Macaca fascicularis: one gene and its partners. The protein of the gene in region 5 interacts with the protein of the main gene of each other region in a biochemical or structural test. Links are inferred from orthologs where the notes say so. Each region holds a gene or a part of one and is shown on either strand. Other genes may lie near its edges.

What was found.
Region 1: the proteins of HDAC4 (region 5) and NACC1 form a complex in vitro, tested with the Homo sapiens proteins (2 studies listed by BioGRID). The link is inferred for Macaca fascicularis from reciprocal best matches to the Homo sapiens genes HDAC4 and NACC1.
Region 2: the proteins of HDAC4 (region 5) and NR2C1 form a complex in vitro, tested with the Homo sapiens proteins (2 studies listed by BioGRID). The link is inferred for Macaca fascicularis from reciprocal best matches to the Homo sapiens genes HDAC4 and NR2C1.
Region 3: of the proteins of HDAC4 (region 5) and CAMK2D, one has a biochemical effect on the other in vitro, tested with the Homo sapiens proteins (2 studies listed by BioGRID, with this or other methods). The link is inferred for Macaca fascicularis from reciprocal best matches to the Homo sapiens genes HDAC4 and CAMK2D.
Region 4: the proteins of HDAC4 (region 5) and ZBTB16 form a complex in vitro, tested with the Homo sapiens proteins (2 studies listed by BioGRID). The link is inferred for Macaca fascicularis from reciprocal best matches to the Homo sapiens genes HDAC4 and ZBTB16.

Annotation. Positions count from the first base shown.
Region 1 is NC_088393.1:13,519,488-13,523,582, reverse strand, and holds the start of NACC1 (nucleus accumbens-associated protein 1), read right to left. Parts: upstream 2,806-4,095; 5' UTR 2,698-2,805; coding exon 2,668-2,697; intron 2,379-2,667; exon of another isoform or gene 2,182-2,378; intron 1,612-2,181; coding exon 1,593-1,611; exon of another isoform or gene 1,473-1,592; intron 1,341-1,472; exon of another isoform or gene 1,150-1,340; intron 1-1,149. Other genes in the region: TRMT1 (tRNA (guanine(26)-N(2))-dimethyltransferase), read left to right, coding at 3,198-3,457, 3,551-3,606, 3,836-3,978. UniProt on the Homo sapiens protein: Functions as a transcriptional repressor. Seems to function as a transcriptional corepressor in neuronal cells through recruitment of HDAC3 and HDAC4. Contributes to tumor progression, and tumor cell proliferation and survival.
Region 2 is NC_088385.1:102,135,075-102,139,278, forward strand, and holds the start of NR2C1 (nuclear receptor subfamily 2 group C member 1), read right to left. Parts: upstream 2,807-4,204; 5' UTR 2,572-2,806; exon of another isoform or gene 2,291-2,571; intron 2,250-2,290; exon of another isoform or gene 1,848-2,249; intron 1,535-1,847; exon of another isoform or gene 1,008-1,534; intron 1-1,007. UniProt on the Homo sapiens protein: Orphan nuclear receptor. Binds the IR7 element in the promoter of its own gene in an autoregulatory negative feedback mechanism. Primarily repressor of a broad range of genes.
Region 3 is NC_088379.1:119,046,655-119,050,166, reverse strand, and holds part of CAMK2D (calcium/calmodulin-dependent protein kinase type II subunit delta), read left to right. Parts: intron 1-155; coding exon 156-250; intron 251-2,618; coding exon 2,619-2,741; intron 2,742-3,512. UniProt on the Homo sapiens protein: Calcium/calmodulin-dependent protein kinase involved in the regulation of Ca(2+) homeostatis and excitation-contraction coupling (ECC) in heart by targeting ion channels, transporters and accessory proteins involved in Ca(2+) influx into the myocyte, Ca(2+) release from the sarcoplasmic reticulum (SR), SR Ca(2+) uptake and Na(+) and K(+) channel transport.
Region 4 is NC_088388.1:112,988,396-112,992,346, reverse strand, and holds the start of ZBTB16 (zinc finger and BTB domain-containing protein 16), read right to left. Parts: upstream 2,808-3,951; 5' UTR 1,942-2,807; exon of another isoform or gene 1,155-1,941; 5' UTR 1,060-1,154; exon of another isoform or gene 1-1,059. UniProt on the Homo sapiens protein: Acts as a transcriptional repressor. Transcriptional repression may be mediated through recruitment of histone deacetylases to target promoters. May play a role in myeloid maturation and in the development and/or maintenance of other differentiated tissues.
Region 5 is NC_088386.1:135,043,442-135,046,953, reverse strand, and holds part of HDAC4 (histone deacetylase 4), read left to right. Parts: intron 1-2,214; coding exon 2,215-2,331; intron 2,332-2,415; coding exon 2,416-2,614; intron 2,615-3,512. UniProt on the Homo sapiens protein: Responsible for the deacetylation of lysine residues on the N-terminal part of the core histones (H2A, H2B, H3 and H4).

The DNA of each region.
Region 1 (4,095 bases), on a different chromosome or scaffold from region 5:
GGTACTAATATATATGACGGTGGCTATGAGGTCCCATCCACTAGGCTTGAACCACCAGCTTCTGGCCACAAAAGGTAGAGAAAGAACGCAGGATCCTAAAATACTCAGGTAATGTCTGCTGGGCTGCCTCCCTGTAGATATATAAGGTGGGGGTGGGCGAGGGCCACCTTGTGATAAACAAGATGCCTAAGCTAGGTGTTCCAGACTGTCTCCAGCTGCCCACACAAACACCCACTGGCCAGCGCCTTTGAACAGTTGGCAGAGGCTTGCCCAAGGGGTAGGGTCAGGACTCTAGAGGCTTCTGGGATGAGGTGTGGGAATGAGGGAACCCCTTAGATGTGACTCTGAACTAACACTTCGAGTTGGGGTCGATGGGGGGCGCATCTCAGTATATACCTGCTGGTCACACTAGCTTTTCCTGACCTGCCCCCACATCCCCCCAGCCTAGCCCAAAGGCTCTGCTCCCCCGACTCGCAAAGCTCCTACAGCAGTCCCTCGCCTTACCTAATCGCCCCCAGATCTAGCCTCCCCCTCCCCACATCTGAGTCCTGACCTCATGTGACCCCCGGAAAACATCTCTGGGATCTCCTATCCGCCCCCACCCGAACTAACTCCGCCCACACCCACCGTGCCCCACTTCCTGGGCTTCTCCTCAGCCGCCCCCAGGCCTGTAACTTGACCCACCCACCTCCTCCAGCGCCCAGGCGGTACCTGCAGGCCCGGCCCCTCCCCGCCCCCCTCCGGCCGCGCCGCTCTCCTCTCCTCCCCCACTCGGCCTGGCCAGAGCCCGACTCCTCCTCCCCCTCCCCCTCCGGCATCCACGGGCGCCTCCTCACTTTTCCGCTTCGGACCCTCTAACTTCCCTGGATCCCCGGTACCCGCCCCGGCCCGACCTGGCCCCCTCCCTCGCTGGGAGCTGGGGGAGCGGTCCAGGTACGATCCTGCCGCCCCCAAGCCCCGAGGTTCGGGCTGGACGCTCAAGTCTGCCCGCGGTAGCCGGGCCTGCACACACACGCCTGCCCGGGCACAGTGCAGGCTGCGGGCCCGGCTCCTCCTCAGTCCGAGAAAGCACCCAGGCCCTCCCCACTCAGCCCTCGGGCCGCCCCGGCTGGAGAAGGCCGGAACCGGGCCTGAGGCGGGCCGCCTCACCTGCGCCGTGGCCGAGCTCCGGGGGCTCCCGGCGGGCTCCGCAGCGGCGGCTGGGGCCGGGCCTGGGCCCGGGGCGCGCCCCCCTGCGCCGGGGCCTCGGCCTCCGCCTCCGCGGCCTCCGCGGCCTCCGCCTCAGCAGCAGCGGCAGCCGCGGCGGCCATTCATTGTGGGCCAGGCCGCCCCAGCCGAGCGCCGAGCGAGCGCAAGCCGCGCCGCCGCCGCAGCCAGGCCAGGGAGGAGCGGCACCGGCCCCGCCCGCGCACCGCCCTCAGGCCCCGCCCTCCAGGCGAGGCCAGCCGAGCTCCGAGCGCGCCCCATCTAACCGGCTCCGTCTCCTCTCTATGCCCCTGGGAGGATCCTCGCCGGTACGTCGGCTCAGCTCGGTGGTTCGAATCCCGACCCCGCCACCTTCTAGTCCCGCGACCTTGGGCAAGTCGCTCTACCTTTCCGAACTTTAGTTTCCTGTAAAACAAAAACAATAATGACTGCTGTTTATTGCAGCAGGCACCGTGTTAGGTTCTTTATGGGAATTAGCTCGTTTAAACTACACAGTAACATTTTTTAGTGGGAACTGTTACACACTAGAGAAAATAAAGGCGGCTGGGCGCGGTGGCTCACGCCTGTACTCCCAGCACTTTGGGAGACCGAGGTGGGTGGATCGCCTGAGGTCAGGAGTTCAAAACCAGCCTGGCCAATATGGCGAAACCCTGTCTCTACTAAAAATACAAAAATTAGCCGGGCGTGATGGCAAGCGCTAGTAATCCCAGTCACTCGGGAGACTGAGGCAGGAGAATCGCTTGCACCCGGGAGGCGGTGGTTGCAGTGAGCCGAGATCATGCCACTGCATGATCCAGGGCGAGACTCCGTCTCAAAAAAAAAAAAAAAAAAAAAAAGAAAATAAAGAAAGACAGAAAAGGAGGCACAAAGAAAGCTGGTCAAGATCATCACACAGCAAGGAAGTGATGGCGGGTGCCAGGATTTAAACGCAGGCTCAAAAGCGACAATAACAGCTAAGACTTTTATGATGCTTACCGGATGCTAGGTTCTGTTAGCATTTTACGTGCACTAACTCGTTTACTTCTCACTACAACCCACTAACAAATGGTAAAAAGTTCTGCCCTTTTGCAAAAGCGGTAACTTAAGTTCAGAGTTAACAACAAGTCGCAGGGCGAGCTAAGACTGGAACCCAGGTACCCGGGAACCACTTCGCTGTCCTGCCTTCGTACACTGGTTAGAACTTTACCGAGCGCTTACAAGGTCAGAGTGGCTCTTTACACACTTTCCAGGAATCTGTCATTTAATCTTTGTTCTATCTGAGAAACCACGATTCTTATTTAATAGATAAGAAAACTGAAGGCCCTAGAGTAACCGGCCCCGAGCATGTGGTGGGACTGAGATTCAAACCCAGTAAATCCAACTCCAGAGCCTGAGTTATCCCTGCAGAGTGCTCTGAAATAATGTGTATATAGCACCCAGAACACAGAAGAGGACCAATAGCTGTTGGGTTTCTCCGCTTACCGCCCCTTTTCTGAGCCACAACTTCCTCATCTGTGAAATGGGACTAGTGACGTGTCCTCTCCCAGGGGATCCACTGTGATTAAAACCCCCGGAACAGCATGATCAGCGCGCTTCCTTTATGGCATTCATTTTGATCCCGGCCGCCCACCGTCCACGTCCTCATTGATTGGCCAACCACTATCATGTGATTTCCCCCACCCACCGTGCCAACATGGCGGCGCCCAGGTCCTAATTTGGGAAACGTGCACCTTGACTAATTCGGTTTTCTGTGGCTACGAGACCAGGTGAGGAGGGGCTGGGCAGTGCGGGAAGGGATTCGGACTCAGGGCGGGCCTGCACGAGGGCATCGGCTCCGCAGGAACCAGTCATCCCCAAAACAAGGGGTTATCAGCTTACCGAGGCCGCAGGTCTTCCTAGTTTCTACTTCATAGATATGTAGGACACCCCCGGGCCCAGAATGCGGCTCTCTGACCCTCTCTGTGCCTTTCCCCGCCCCCCGAACCAGGCTTGGCGGACAGAGGCACCAGCGGATGTCTCATGCAAGGATCGTTCTGTGGCTAAGCCTCACTCTCCGCCCCACCCGTGTGCTCTGTACAGCCCGGTTTTTCGAGGGGCAGTCCCCAGGGCTGCCGAATCCAGCAGCGATGGAGAACGGCACCGGGCCCTGCGGAGAAGAATGCCCACGTGAAGTCCAGGAGACGACAATCACCGAGGGGGCTGCCAAAATCGCCTTTCCCAGCGCCAACGAGGTCTTTTATAACCCGGTGCAGGAATTCAATCGGGACCTGACGTGAGCAGGGGTCAGAGGTCAGCCTGGCATCGGCTAGTGGGTCAGTGTGGATGGCGGGGGCGGGGTATGAGCTAGTCCTCTGTCTCCCACCAGATGTGCTGTGATCACCGAGTTTGCTCGCATTCAGCTTGGGGCCAAAGGAATCCAGAGTGAGTGGAGGTCCAGGCTTCTGGCGGGCGGGGGTCACACAAGTCTTATCTCCCTGCCTGGGCCCTTCTGCCGCCCAAATCCAGAGAGGCTTCAGCCACATAGCAGGCCCTGGGTTCTGCTCCTTCAGCCTTTCCCCAGGGATTTCAGGGAAGATATTTTGGAGATTAAGGGGAGGTTTCTCAGAGAGGACTTCGTTACTCTCTGACTTGTGCCTCTGGGTGGCTGCAGTCAAGGTGCCAGGAGAGAAGGACGCGCAAAAGGTGGTCGTGGACTTGTCAGAGCAAGAGGAGGAAAAGGTTGAACTGAAAGAGAATGAAAACCTGGCCTCAGGAGACCAACCTCGCACAGCGGCCGTGGGGGAAATCTGTGAGGTGGGGCCTGAGCATAGCAGCTGGCAGTCCTGGAATTTAGCGGGAGACAGAGGGCTCCTGGAGGGGGAGAGCTATAGGAGGTGGGTGGTGGGGGCTCCTTGGGGCCCAGAAGAGGAT
Region 2 (4,204 bases), on a different chromosome or scaffold from region 5:
ACAAGGTGTCTGGCACTGTGAACACAAGGGAGAGTTCTTTTATAATCCGACTTCCCCCATTCTCATTTCCTGTCACTCTCAAGAGGGGGCCTCTTCAGGTCAAACTATCATGTGCTTTATTCCCCAACATATTCCTACTTTCTCCCTCATTTAAATCCCACCTGACCTTTAAGATTTGGTTCAAGCCAGGGCTCCTGCCTGTAATCCCAGCACTTTAGGAGGCCAAGGCATGTGGATCACCTGAGGTCAAGAGTTCAAGACCAGCCCGGCCAACATGGTGAAACCCCATCTCTACCAAAAATACAAGAATTTAGCCGGGTGTGGTGGATGGTGCCTGTGGTAACAGCTACATGGGAGGCTGAGGCAAGAGAATCGCTTGAATCTAGGAGGCGGAGGTTGCAGTCAGCCGAGATCGTACCATTGCACTCCAGCTTGGGAAACAAGAGCAAAACTCCGTCTGGGGAAAAAAAAAAAAAAAATTTGGTTCATAGTTTTTCACCTAGTCTTTCTTCAAGGGTCTAGCATTTATTGTGTAGACTAAGGTTGTTAACTAGGATTCAGAAAAAGATTTGTTAACTCCTAATATTGTATGTAAATTTTATCTAAAGGTACATTTTTCTAGAGACAGTTCATAAAAGACTTTAAGAGGCTGCAGATGGTCTTGTGACTGAAAAAAGGCAACGAATTATATTTATCCTATTATTTATTGTATGCTGTTTTGTTTTTATTCCCCAAGAGTAGAGATTATACACTGTGTGGCAGACACCCAGATGGTAGATATTTTGGGGATGTTTGCTCCCTCAAAATCCCTCCTTAGGATGCAGTGCCTGTAATTCCAGCTACTCAACAGGCTGAGGCAGGAGGACAGCTTGAGACCAGAGACCAGTCTGGACAACAAAATGAGGCCCTCCACCATTTCTATAAAACAAACAAAAAAAAAACCCTTCCTAGAAGACACTAACATGCCCCTTGAAAGACTAAGATTAGCAACATTCCATGCGACCCACTTTTTTTCTTTTTTGAGATGGAGTTTCGCTCTTGTTGCCCAGGCTGGAGTGCAATGGCGCGATCTCTGCTCACAGCAACCTCCGCCTCCCAGGTTCAAGCGATTCTCCTGCCTCGGCCTCTGGAGATGATGGGATCACAGGCGTGCGTCACCACGCCCGGCTCATTTTGTATTTTTACTACAAACGGGGTTTCTCCATGTTGGTCAGGCTGGTCTCGGACTCCTGACCTCAGATGATCCGCCCGCCTAGGCCTCCCAAAGTGCTGGGATTACAGGTGTGAGACACCGCGCCCAGCCACGACCCACTTTTAATGATAGAAATACACATCGCTTTTTCAGATTTACTAACTGGACTTAAAGCAGTTTAAAAACAATCATCGACCGGGCGCGGTGGCTCACGCCTGTAATCCCAGCACTTTGGAAGGCCGAGGTGGGTGGCTCACGAGGTCAGAATATCGAGACCATACTGGCCAACATGGTGAAACCCCATCTCTATCAAAAAAAAAAAAAAAAAAAAAAAAAAAAAATTAGCTGGGTGTGGTGGCTCCTGCCTGTAGTCCCAGCTACTCAGGAGGCTGAGACAGGAGAATCGCTTGAACCCGGGAGGTGGAGGTTGTAGCAAGCGGAGATCGCGCCACGGCACTCCAGCCTGGGTGACAGAGAGAGACTCCCTCTCCAAAAAAAAAAAAAAAAAATCGAGTATCACCAACCACACAGCAGAAATGGTTCAAAAAACCTCAAAATTGAAGGTCTATTTACAACGTCTAGAGGTATTAAACCCTAAAGGCCTTAATTTTAGGTCTTTTGCTTTTGCTTTCCGGTTACTTTTTTAAAGACTGACCTACTTACTGAAGATTATGGGACAACTTGGCAACATTCATACTGCACAAAAATGGTATCTGCACGAGCTGAAAGAAGAATTTCTTAACAAAAGAGCTATCTATCGGAAGCTTGGACATGTCCCCTACAGTGAGGACCCCGGGGCCGTTCCGTATCTTCTGAAAAGATCCAGGTCCACAGGCAGCGACGACCCTGGCCCGATTTGTCGTGAGAGAAAAGTGAAAGTGGAGGGCGTCATTCTGTCCGTCCCGTGAAAGCATGAGAGTTAGGCAGGGGATGCAGGCCGGGACCTGCGGCCACTAGCCGGGGGTCGGCCTCTCCCGGGACTCACTCGTTCCGGCGTTAGCCGTGCGCCTTCGAGGCCCCGACGCTGCGCGCGGCTCCCCGGGGCGGGGGAAACTGCGGCACCGCGGAAGCTTTCCCTGCAGGTTAAAGGTCAGAGGCGCTGCGATGAGCGCACTGGGAGAGGCAGTTGTGTGCTCCGAGCCGCTCGGCGTCCGGCCCCGCGTCCCGCCGCCCCGCCTCTCCGGGGACCCAGAGCATTCGGCGCCGCCGCTCCGCGCTCCCAGCCCAACTCCAGCAGCCCAAAGCGGCGCGCCCAAACTGAACGGCCCCGCTGGCCGCAGGATGCCCTGGGAGCGCGTCCGTTGGCCGTTGGGGTGAAGGGCACCCCCCGTCCCCCGCCCCCGACGCGGTCGCTGGTGTCCCCACCCAGCGCTTCTTACCGGCGCTTTTGCGCCCCGCTGACTCCGGCGTCGGGCGCCGACGCGACAGTCCCGCGGTTGCCACTGCTGGATTGGGGGGCGCTCCGGAAAGAGAGGTTGAAGGAAGCCCACGGGAGGGGGGATCGAGATTCACGGCGGAGGGAGCTTTCTGTGTTTGGGTATTTGGGAGGGTCAGAGTTCGTGACCCCTTTCTTGGCTCGGCGGCGCGCTATCACGCCAGCGCCTGCGCATTAGCGACGGGGAGAAGCGGCGAGAGGAGGTCGTGACGTTCCCAGGGTGAGGTGGAGGGATCAGAGGGCCGAGCAGCGGCTCTGTGAGTCCACTGCCCCCTTTTGGCTTGGAGGCAGAGTGCCCCGCCAGAGCTACGCGTCCCCAGCCAGGTACTTTTTGCAGCCACGTGCAAAGGTTTAAGCACTGTTTGCCAAAGGTGGGCATTAGGGGAAGTTTTGAGTCAACGTTTCAGATTTGAGTAATAACCCTCTGGGTCTTAGGCATATCTGTTTCTAATTTCTGGAAAACTGGGCCCTGGATAGAGTCCAATCATATTTAAACTTTATATATAATGACAAGCTGAGGCCGACTCATGCAAATGGTAAGGCAAAGTTTCATTATAAAACTGTTGTGAGTAGAGAGACATAATGGCTAAACAGGGCAAGAATGTAGTCACTAGAGACTGGGCACGGTAGCTCACGCTTGTAATCCCAGCAAGTTGGGAGGCCAAGGCGGACGGATCACTTGAGCCCAGTTGTTCGGGACCAGCCTGGCCAACATGGCGAAACCCCGCCTCTACAAAAAAATTAGCCGGTCCTGGCGCGTGCCTGTCGTCCCAATTACTTGGAGGCTGAGATGGGAGGATCACCTGAGTCGAGACGGCAGTGAGCCAAGATCACACCACTGCACTCCAGCCTGGGTGACAGAATGAGTCTCTCTCTATATATATTTATTTTTTTTCCACATCCTCTCTCTCTATATAGTGTGTGTGTTTGTGTGTGTGTATATGAAATCCTCAATGGCCGTTTTATTGTCTGTTTTGCTCCGTGATGTATTACCAAGCGCATAGGACTGCTATCAATAATGATGTATGAAACGAAAACCAGGCAGGTGGCTGCTGGGAGGCCAAGGCAAGATCACTTTGGGCCAGCAGTTGGAGACTAACTTGGGCAAGATAACAAAACCCTGCCTCTACAAAAAAAAGTTTTCAAATTGTGAAGAGACATTGGATGGAACATCGCATTCTAATAGTGGCCACCTGTAGCAGCAAGGTGTGGCAGGAATAAATGCCCTGTGTGCAAAGTACTCTGCGCTTTAGATTTTGAAGCATTCTTGAAATTTCTATTTTTTTTTTAATCTCCTTTGTTTTACCATGAAATTTCTATTTAACCTAGCTTAGATCGGCACTGTAGGAAAGCAGCCACAAACTCAGGGCAGAAATCCAAGGAAGGAAAAACAATTGCTGGGAATGAGAACATCTCTGTTATTTCTCTTTGGAACTCGGCAGACGGACAGAGATCAAGGCATGAAACAATCCCTAACAAGTAAAAATATGCTTTATCCCTCATTAGAAATCCACCTCTGCTGAGCACAGTGGCTTCTGCCCCCAGAGCTTTGGGAGGCTGAGGTAGGAGACTTGCTT
Region 3 (3,512 bases), on a different chromosome or scaffold from region 5:
CTCTAGAATAGACCATAACACGTCTCTCTGAAGTTTTCCTACAATCCAGTTTTCTCTGTTTTAACAACTACAGCTTAATATCATTGTGGATCAGCCACATTTAATTTATTGTTTTCTATATGACTTAAATAATGTTAATACTGTAATCTCTCCAGGTGTCATTCTCTATATTCTACTTGTGGGGTATCCACCCTTCTGGGATGAAGACCAACACAGACTCTATCAGCAGATCAAGGCTGGAGCTTATGATGTATGTAATAACTATTTATATCACTTTAGATGAAGGTTTGTTTTTTGCTTGCTGATCAAGAGCCAGATCTTTTCATTTTTCTTTTAACTATAATTTTTACCACTTTCTCTTATTATTTCCCTCTCTCTTAAGGAAAGGGAAAAAGAAATGCAGCATATGTGTTCAGCTTATGTTTCCTTTTAACTCACTCTCTCCTAAGATAAAAAGAAAAGTCATGTGAAGTCTCTGAGGAAGAACTTTGTCAAAATGTTTGGATCTTAGTGCATTTTAAAAACATAAAAATTAAAATATTTCTGCTATAAAAATGATTATTGCCCATTCAGTTGAATTATATTCTCAAATACCTATCACATAATTTTACATTATATACCAACAATATTTTGCAGTGATCACATATCAAATAGAACATTATTCCACTATACCAGTTTCTGGGTTTTGTTTTTTGTTTTTGTATTGTTTACCTAATGGGATGCTATGCAAGCTTTCATTTGAAGAATGAGTTTCACAATTGAAAAATTTGAAAATCATAATTCTAATATATTTAATTTTTAATTAGAATATTTGAAAGTAGATATATATATACATATTCATAAATTAAGTTCAGAATCTGAAGAGGAAGTCTTTATCTACTTTCTCTTTATGGCTTAACTTTGTGTTTATGATATAATTTGCTCTCCTTTGATATGTATTCTTGTAAATACGATTTACCACTTTCTCTGGTTTCCTCTCATACAGCCCTAGGGAAATCCATGTGCAGGATCTGGGCATGCTTTCCATGTGTCATTAAGTGGAGTAACTATGGAGTAGCAATATTGGGTTCACCTTTTGTGCACAAGTTGAAAGCTTTATGTGAAAGTGAGAGGAGAAAATATAAAATGTCTGTATTGTATTCTATCATGTCTCATGAACTCTTCAGTGCATTTCTGATAAAATTTTCTATTTAGATGGATGTGTGTTTCAGTTAGCAAGAATTTAAAATGTATATTCTTTGAATTTCGAAGCATTCCATTATCCCTAGACTAGTAATTGAAACAAATTATTATTTACATGGCAACAGCTAGCACATTCACCATCTTTACAGACTAGAACCAGCCCCTTTCTGGGCAGACGTAGCCCTGAAAATGCACTGCTTGGTATACCGGAGGAGTGCTTTCATGAAAATTAGAAAACTGAGGAAAAAGTTCACCTTTCTTCATGCTGAACCTACCCCTCATTTGCTATCAAAAGACCTGTACAACATTTAAGAAACAGCCTTGCATGTTTCTTTAGTAGCTCCTAACAGTTAGCAAGCTTTCACAACTGCCAAACATAAGCTTCAGGAATTAAAAAATGACAATTGTTAAGCTGGCAAGAAATTACAGGTATTAGAGTCAATATCATTTTTCTCGTGCTTTATTTTGCCAGTGAGTCACAAGTTCCCCATTTTAAAACTACCAAAAATAGACTAATTCCATTGACACAGTGACAATGGCTTTATTTTTCAAGATTGTCTACACAAATTCATGAATTGGGAAAATAACTTGATATTCTATCATTTTGCAACTAATGTAGTATAAATTTCCCTTAATCATTGAAGGACAGTATTTCTACTAAACATGCTAATGATATAAAAGTAATTTATTATCAGTACAAAAAAATAACATGAAGAGAGGAGAAGTAGCTTTCTTATATAGTCTTATTGTAAAAAAATATTAATAATGGGAAGTTATAAGATTTGATTACTTTCATATACTTTGGTGAAATTTGTAATTGGGCAGATTAAACTTCTTGAAGGGTTAAAATGAAATCTTGCTGAAGCTCCTATAGCCTCAGATTCTTCTCACTACAGCACTCCAAGTAGCCATGATTAATAGGTCAGTTTTGGCACAGGAATTGAAGCTGTTTTATTACCTCTGCTATTACTGCTTATAAGTTGTGAAAGTATATAATACCTCATTTTGAACCTTGGCATAATATTACGATGGCATTGGTACATGTAGCAACCTCTTTGCTTTTATTAAGTTTTGCAAATAATTATGAGAAAGATTGTATAAAATTTCATGTTCAGATCAAAGCAGAGATACTTTGAGAATAGAAGATTCTTAAGTTCTTTTTTTCTGAATTTTAAAATGTATTTACCATATGTGATATGCAGCTCAGTATATATGTTGGTCCCTTATCAGATACTCTTTAATATATATAGTTGTCTACATAGAGGGGGAGAATAGATCTAAATGATTTTATTTATTTTAGATACAATTTAACTTATATAAAAAGTAAATTTATGAAGAAATTCACTACTTGAGGAAATGATTCATATAGTTGACTCTTCCCTGTTTGATTGAGTGTGTCTATTTTTTAAACTTTTTATAAATTTATATTTTTGAAGTTTCCATCACCGGAATGGGACACGGTAACTCCTGAAGCCAAAGACCTCATCAATAAAATGCTTACTATCAACCCTGCCAAACGTATCACAGCCTCAGAGGCACTGAAGCACCCATGGATCTGTGTAAGTAAAACTTCTCAAAAACTTCAAGAGCTAAAATGAAAAATAAGCTGTCCTTTAATATATTGTTTATGGATTTAAAATAACTTTGCAAAAAAAAGATGAAATTCAGAATGAATGAATTTTTGACTCAAGGTGTTTAAGAAAATGAATTTTATGATGGCGAAGAAATGCAATTTTCAGTAGCAAAGTCTGAATTGCATAGATTATTAAACAAATATTGCTTGCAGTAACAAAAGGAATGAGTATTCTTCGTATCAATTATTGACAATACTCGTGAACAAGGTCAAGAAAATAACACCAAAATTAAATGTATCCCAGAAGAAAAGATTTAACAAAGTTCAATTATTTGTCATTAGGCAACTTTAGAAGCAAGTATGAAGTTTGGCAGCTGAGAGTAGAGTTTTAGTGGCATAAAAGAATGGTCATAGTAGTCTGAATATTTTTTAGAAATATTAAGAAAAATAGTGTGAAATTTGAGGGGAATCTGAAGACTTCAGTAAATTTCTGAATGTGTCAAATGCTAAGATGATAAATGCGGCACTAAGTAAATGAAAGGCAGCCCAATCGAAATGTGATTGAAGACATTAAAATAAAGATAATTTGAGAAATTATTAATATTTATTTCTACACTTTCTGGTATTTTTATTTTGTTTTGTTTTGACACAGAGTCTTGCTCTTGTCACCCAGGCAGGAGTGCAGTGGCACAGTCTTGGCTCACTGCAACCTCCGCCTCCCAGGTTCAAACAGTTCTCCTGCCTCAGCCTCCCGAGT
Region 4 (3,951 bases), on a different chromosome or scaffold from region 5:
CCACACACAAACTTAGGTCATTTCTACCCATGGAAGCCTCAAAGTTATTGTATGTATAATCTAAAATCTGCACTGTGTGTATGTACACCAGCCAGAGACAGAAAGAGTGTGTGGGGCAGGGTGTAGTGTCTCACGCCTCTAATCCCAGCACTTTGGGAGGCCCAGGCAGGCGGATCACCTGGGGTCGGGAGTTCGAGACCAGCCTGACCAACGTGGAGAAGCCCCGTCTCTACAAAACATACAAAATTAGCCAGGCGCGGTGGCACCCGCCTGTAATCCCAGCTACTAGCGAGGCTGAGGCAGGAGAATCACTTGAACCCGGGAGGCGGAGGTTGCGGTGAGCCGAGATTGTGCCATTGCGCTCCAGCCTGGGCAACAACAGCAAAACTCCGTCTCAGAAAAAAAAAAAAGCGTGTGTGTGTGTCTTTACATACACACACACACACACTTATATAAGGGGCCGTACCTACCGTCCTGCCCACAACTGGCCGGTGGACAGGAGGATCTAAAAAACGAAGAAGGATGGATCATTAAGGTATGGAGAGAGACCACAGTAAATATGCTCCCCTACAGCCAGGAGCGCTTATGCTGGGCTGGGTGTGTGAACTCCACGTGTGTCCCACAGGCTCCAAGGAGTCTGCAAGTCCTGTGACCAGGGGCAGCAAGGGATGCCGGACATGGCTCAGAGGCGCTGGAAGTGATATTGGCACCAGCATCTGTGGTGTGAGTTACAACCAGTACGAAGGGAAGACAGGGCTGGGAAACAAAGGCCTCTCCCAGAGCCTGTTCGGGATCAATAAGAGGGCTCCTAGACTCCAAACCCCGCTTAACGAGTGTTAGAAAGACCGCGCAGGCCCAGGGCCCTCCCCGTGTCTGCCTTGCAGCGACCAATATTGCAGTGAATGCACTGAGAGCAAGGAACAGCAAGGTCTCTCCCTCACTCTTCGAACACTGCTTGCTTGCCTCCACCCCCAAAAGAAGCTCTATCAGTTCAGGAGCCACCAAGCTCACGCAGAAAGGATTCACAGGACGGCTGGTCAAGACACTTTTGTTGCCTACCCCGGGGTGGGGACGGAGGCCGTCAAGGGTGGGATGAACATTCAGCAGAGCCTGGCCACCGCGTGCTTTCCCGCAGACATCGGGGCTTCTGAGAACTAGGAGGGAACAGCCAAAAGAATGGAAGCTTGGCGCCCCAAAACAAGCCCTTTGGGTCCTGAGGGAAATCGGGGCGCCCACGGGCAGCCGTCTTCCCCACCCGCCGCTCGGCGCCCGCGATTCGGCCGGCGCTGGCTGCAGCGTCCAGCCGGGCGGCGCGGGGAAGAACCGGCGAGAACCCGCCTGAGCTCCGGGGATCGACCGTGCTCTCACACGCCTCCAGTTCCCAGCGACCCCCCACCGAGACTTGGAGACGACTTCAGCAAACTTGGGGAAGCAACTTTTCCCGAGGAGCTAGACGCCTGAAAGATGAAGAGCTGGGCTAGGGACGAGGGAAAGCGAAAGAGACTGGGAAAAAAGGCGACAGTCCGGGCGGGCTGGACTCCGCGGGGAGAGCAGCAGGGAGGCGGACCCGCCCCGCGGCGAAGGGGAAGCACAAAAGCCCCGCAAACGAGTTGTAGGAGGAAAGGCGAGAAGGGGTCTGCCCGCCCTCCCTCTCCGACCCAGGGCCGTGACCCCCGGGAAGCGACCGGCTGGGTCCCCGGCCTCTGGCCAGCGGCGCCAGCGGCCGGCGCGCCCGTCCGAAGCACCGTGCGAGCGTCTCGCGGAGGCGGCGAGCGAGTCGGTGCGGAGCGCTCCGTGCGTCCCAGTGGGTCCGTGGGCCGGCGGGACCCTGCGCATTTCAAGCGCGTGCGGGCGTGTGCGAGGCGCTGTGCGAGCTAGCGGCGGGCGCGCCAGGGTGGGAAAGGCATCCCGAACGCATCAGGTGCAGAGACCCGCACCCACCGAGAGCGGCCGGGAGCGCACGGCGAGCTCCGGTGTCACCGCCGGTCCCGTCGAGAGCCGAGGAGGGCCCGGAGCGCTGGAGACCCTCTGGAGCTTCCCTCCCTCCCCTGCAAAAGGGGGGGATCAAGTCCAATCAATAAAAAGCCCACCACGTTTTTTCAAACAGAAACAAAACGTAAGCAGTCCCAGTCCTGTTCCCCTCCGCCCCCAGATCTACTCGTCAGCTCCTCCGATTCTAGCTTCCCAGCCGGCCGGCGAATAGACACACAAATAAATAAACCACAACCCTATCTCGCGCCCGCGCACCGGTCCGCATACATAAGAGCACCCACGGGCTCTGTTCCTCCGCTGGCCCCTGGCGGTACAAAGCCTCCGGATCCCCGACCCTCTGCTCACGCCCTCAGCCCCCGCAGACCGCTACGCCCCCCACCTCTCACCCCGACCGTGCCCTGGAGAGGAAGGGCTGGGGAGGCAGCTGTGCCCAGGCTGACAGCCGGGGCTCCCCCTTCTAGCCGACCCCCAACCGGTTGCGGCGACGGCTGCAGCGGCAGGAAGGGAACACGCCAAATAAAAAAGGCACAAGCCCAGCGGCCGAGTGGCCGAAGCGAGCGCGCGCCCCCCAGACCTCTCCAGCCCCGGGGAGCCCCGGCGCGCGGCGCTCGCTCGGCGGTGCGCCTCTTCCCGGCCCCTCACTCACCGCAGCCGAGCCGGGCACTGTGGGGTGGGTGTGCGTGCCTGTCGGGGGGTGTGTGCCTGTGTCGGGGAGGGGTGTTGCTGGGGAACTGTTGCTCTCCGTATCAAGGCGGCAGCGACAGCATCGCCCGGCAGTTCGCAGTACCCGCTCTCATCGCCCTCAACTCCTCTCTGCTGCGAGGTTAGCAAATCACCACCGGCTGCTGCGCCTCCGCCGCGTCCCACGTCAACGCCGAGCCCCCTCCCCTGCAAGGCCCCGGCGCCTCTCCATCTTTAGTGCTGGCGGCCGAGCCCGGCTCCCTGCCCACAGCTGCCCCCCTTCCCTCCCCCCTCCCGCGCCGTCCTCGGGCTCAGCCCGCCCACCACCCCGCACTGGCCGAGCCCGCGCGCGCTCCCCGCCCCACCTCTCCTTTCCCCTCCCCTCCCTTCCCCTCCCTTCCCCGCGCTCCGCGCTCCGGGCTTCGCCTGACATCTAGCTGCTGCTGGGGCGCTGGCGGCCGCCGCTCACCGGCCGAGCGGAGAGGAAGGAAGGAGCTAGAAGACAGGCGTGCAGGGGACGCGGAATCCTTAATAGGGGAACTGAGGGTGAAGGGCGCGCAGGAGCCCCCACCTCCTCCCAAGACTTTAATTTCCATTGGATACGAGTTTTGTCCCCCCTCCCCCGCACCCCGGTGCTCAAGCACGCAGTTTTGTCCCCTCTTCCAATGTTTGCCCCAATTCAGTGTGTGTCATCTCGCCTTTAACTTTTTTCTCATGGCTCTGGGCTGCATTCCCAGTAGCCCCTGACATCTGTTTCAAAAGGCCGCTTTCCTAGTCCAAACCCGGGCCTCTCATCCTTCTGGCTACTGCGCGCCTCCCGGCTTGAGCATCCGGATTTCAAGAAGTCTCCCGAGGCAGAGTTCGAGGGTCCTGGTGAACCAGGTGCCAGAAGGTCCGCGAGATCTGTTGTCGAAGCGAGAGGTCCCTTTTTAGCTGTCGCGATTGCTGGAGGCCAAGGTCGAGTCCTGGGAGAAACTTTTCTCTCTCTCAGACTTGGACAGCCTCTCGGCTCTGCCCGCACCCGACCCCCGACCCCCAGCAATCTGGGTGCAAACAGTTTCCGACAACTGCGCCCAGCTCAGTGCACAGTCTTCAGGGGGCAGGGGAAAACTTGGAAAAGCTCTGGGCCCCTCAGAAGTGCGTCCTCCTTCAGCGGGCCGTCCTGCTTTAGAGGGTAGAGAGGCCAAAGAAAATGTACCCTTCCTCTGACTGCAGAAAGCTGCCCTCTCCTCTTTTCCCTGGAGCTCAGCGAAGGTAGGGTGCCAGAGGTGGGAAGCG
Region 5 (3,512 bases):
GCTCCTAAGTGAGAAGGCTGGACTTTCTGTTCTGTAGGAACAGCCTGAGTGTAAGTGTTTGTCAGGAGAAGCGTTTCTTCATGTCCCCACGGGCCACTCATGTGTCTTTTGGAAAATATCTCTTCAGATCCTTTGCCCACTTTTATATGGGCTGCTTTGGGTTTTGCTGGTGAGTTGCTGGAGTTCCCTGCATATTCTGGATACTCTTCCCTTGTCGGATGAATAACTTGCACATTTCCCCCTTCCGCAGGTCGTCTCTTCACTCTGGTGATTTTTTTCCTTTGCTGTGCAGAAGCTTTTTAGTTGAGCAGAGTCCCGGTTGTCTGTTTTCGTTTTTGTTGCCTGTGCTTTTGAGGCCTTAGTCGTAAATCTTCCACAGTAGGCAAGAGGCAGAATCAACCTCAGTGTCCTTCAGTGGATGAACAGTCAGAGAAAATGTGGTGCTGTACACAGTGGAGTACTATGCAGCCATCAAAAAGGATGGAATCCTGACATTTGCAGCAACACAGATGGAACTAGAGGCCTTCATGTTAAGTGAACTAAGCCAGGGACAGAAAGACAAACATCGCATTTTCTTATTCATCTGGGGTAGCTAAAAAAGTTGCTGTCGTGGAGGTAGAGAGTATAATGGAATCTGTTTATTCATTGTTAATGTTAGTTTCTGGCAAGGGGATTTCTATCTGCCAAACCCCACTAACTAGCGTGATTACAACATTTATTCATTCTCTGTTTGCCCATTCATTCAGCAGACATTCCTTGAGTAGCTACTGTGTAGGGGTTATAGTGGTGATAAACTATTGTCCTTTTTAGCAAAACACATTGATTCTACAAGCAAAAAGATGTTAAATATCACAGTAGTTCAAGTCCTTGGAGACTGTTGCTGCTGACCCTTCCTGTGTGGCCTTCTAATCTGTACTCCTGGCTTATGTTTGCTTTATCCAAGCCCATTCTTTAAAAGTTACATGACCTATAACCTGTTTTTCTAACTTAATGTATCATAAACAAGTGTCCAAGTAATCACCCAAGATTGTTCCTAACCCCCAGAGTGTCCTGATGTGCAATGCCCCTCCATTCTGTTAACACCGAGGTGCTGGGGAAGCCACATTGCTCTGCCCTGCCTGCTGGGTGCTCAGCCCCACAGCCGAGGCTTCATTGGCATCAGGCCTTCTCCTTATTTCTTAACGTTGCATCCCAAGAGTGGAGCTCTAGGATCAAAGGTTAGACTGATTTTGAAGGCGTTTGCCATAGACTGCCATATTGTCCTGCAGAAAGGATGCCACTAAGTGATTTGCAGCGCTCTCAACAGCGTTTGCGGTTCCTCTAGGCCAAGGTGGTATTATCATTTTTCAAAAATGTTTGCCAATTTTTGGGGTTTCAAAATACGTTTCCAGATGACCATAATGTGTTTTCCTGAACGTCTTCCGCTTCCTGAGCTCTGCCGTCACTGGTCTTCACCGCATGCTTTTCTCACTGTTAGTTGTTTGATTCGCAGGCGCTCTGTGCTGACCCTCACCTGCCTCATACGTGGTTGGTATTGTTGTCATCATTGCCTGCCTTTCATAGGAGCACTTGTTTTATGATTTTCTTTTTATTTTTAATCTGTGTGGGTACATAATGTATATATTTATGGGGTACGTGAGATGTTTTGATACAGGCCTGCAATGCGTAGTTGTCACGTCATGCAGAGTGTGGGGTGCCCATCCTCTCAAGCATTTATCCTTTGTGTAACAATCCAATCATACCCTTATAGTTATTTTTCAATGTACAATTAAATTGTATTTCCTTTTTGGTTTCTGCTTTTCTTGTTGTCTGGAAAGACATGGCCAACGCCAACTACAAAAAGGCATTGTAAAGTGTATTATCCTAGAAACTGCAAAACGGCATTGGAAACTGTATTATCCTAGATTTCCTTCTGACTAGTCTGTGGTAAATAATCACACTGAATTGAAATCAACACGATGATGCTGGACAAGGTGACAGAAGAACCCGTATCGCGGGGAGGAAACTGGAGCCGTGCATTGGGCTTTCATGTTGTGGTGCGTGTTGAAATCTCATGCTCTCGTTGCTGTATCATTTGCTACGTGTATGTTTGCACTCATAGATCAGAATTCAGTGCAGGCTGCCACAGGTGTTTTCATCGTTGTTTTTCTCGGTGTATATTGCTGATGTTTGGCCGTAACAGACTGTGACAGTCATCATGTGTTCTGTCCCCAGACGAGTTTGGCGCACAGACTTGTGGCGCGAGAAGGCTCGGCCGCTCCACTTCCCCTCTACACGTCGCCGTCCCTGCCCAACATCACGCTGGGCCTGCCTGCCACCGGCCCTGCTGCTGTAAGTCAGCCCCCGTGGGTCCGTGCGGCGTGGGGTGGCGGTGATGGGCCCTTCCACCCCAGCATCGCCGGCTGTGCTTTCCAGGGCACCGCAGGCCAGCAGGATGCCGAGAGACTCACCCTTCCCGCCCTCCAGCAGCGGCTCTCCCTTTTCCCCGGCACCCACCTCACTCCCTACCTGAGCACCTCGCCCTTGGAGCGGGACGGAGGGGCAGCGCACAGCCCTCTTCTGCAGCACATGGTCTTACTGGAGCAGCCGCCGGCACAAGCGCCCCTCGTCACAGGTGAGCACAGATGGGCCTGGGTGCAGCCAGGCTCTGAGGCTACCCGTGCTCTGGACGGTGCCCGGCCCTCGCCTGCCTTTGGAGGAGACGAAGGCATGCCTGTCCCACCCCCACAGTTCCCAAACACACATCCCCCTCACGTCATGTAGCTGCCGTGACTGCAGTGAAAATCCACGCCTCACTCCCAGAGCCAGGTAGATGGAGTGGAAGCGGAAGTCACTTCCCTTTCTCACCTTTTGGGAGAGGCCGCTGGCTCTTGCAGTTTGGGTTTCTGTCTGGACCAAGCTGAGCCAGCACTGGAAGCCCAGAACTGACTCTCGTGGTCAGTTGGTGTTAGCAGAACTTTTACAAATGTGCACTGTCTGGGGGTGTGGTTACATTTAGAAAAATACAATTTAGAGAAAAATGGGAACTTCCTTATGAAATTACATAGCAACAGCAATGTGAAAGTATAACTTCAGAAATGAGGGAGCACCGGCCGGGCGTGGCGACTCACACCTGTAACCCCAGCAGTTTGGGAGGCCGAGGCAGGTGGATCACCTGAGGTCAGGAGTTCAAGACCAGCTGACTAACATGGTGAAACCCTGTCTCTACTAAAAATACAAAAATTAGCTGGGCGTGGTGGTGCACACCTGTAATCCCAGCTACTCGGGAGTCTGAGGCAGGAGAATCGCTTGAAACCGGAAGGCAGAGGTTGCAGTGAGCCAAGATGGTGCCACTGCACTCCAGCCTGGGCGACAGAGCAAGACTCCGTCTCAAAAATAAATAAATAAATAAACAAAGAAACAAATAAATAAATAAACGAGGGAGCCTCTACCTACCCCCTTGCCATGCGGGTCATGATTATACATCTTCACAGCTTTGGGTTTGGCTTCCTGGAAATCTGTTGTTGCCAATG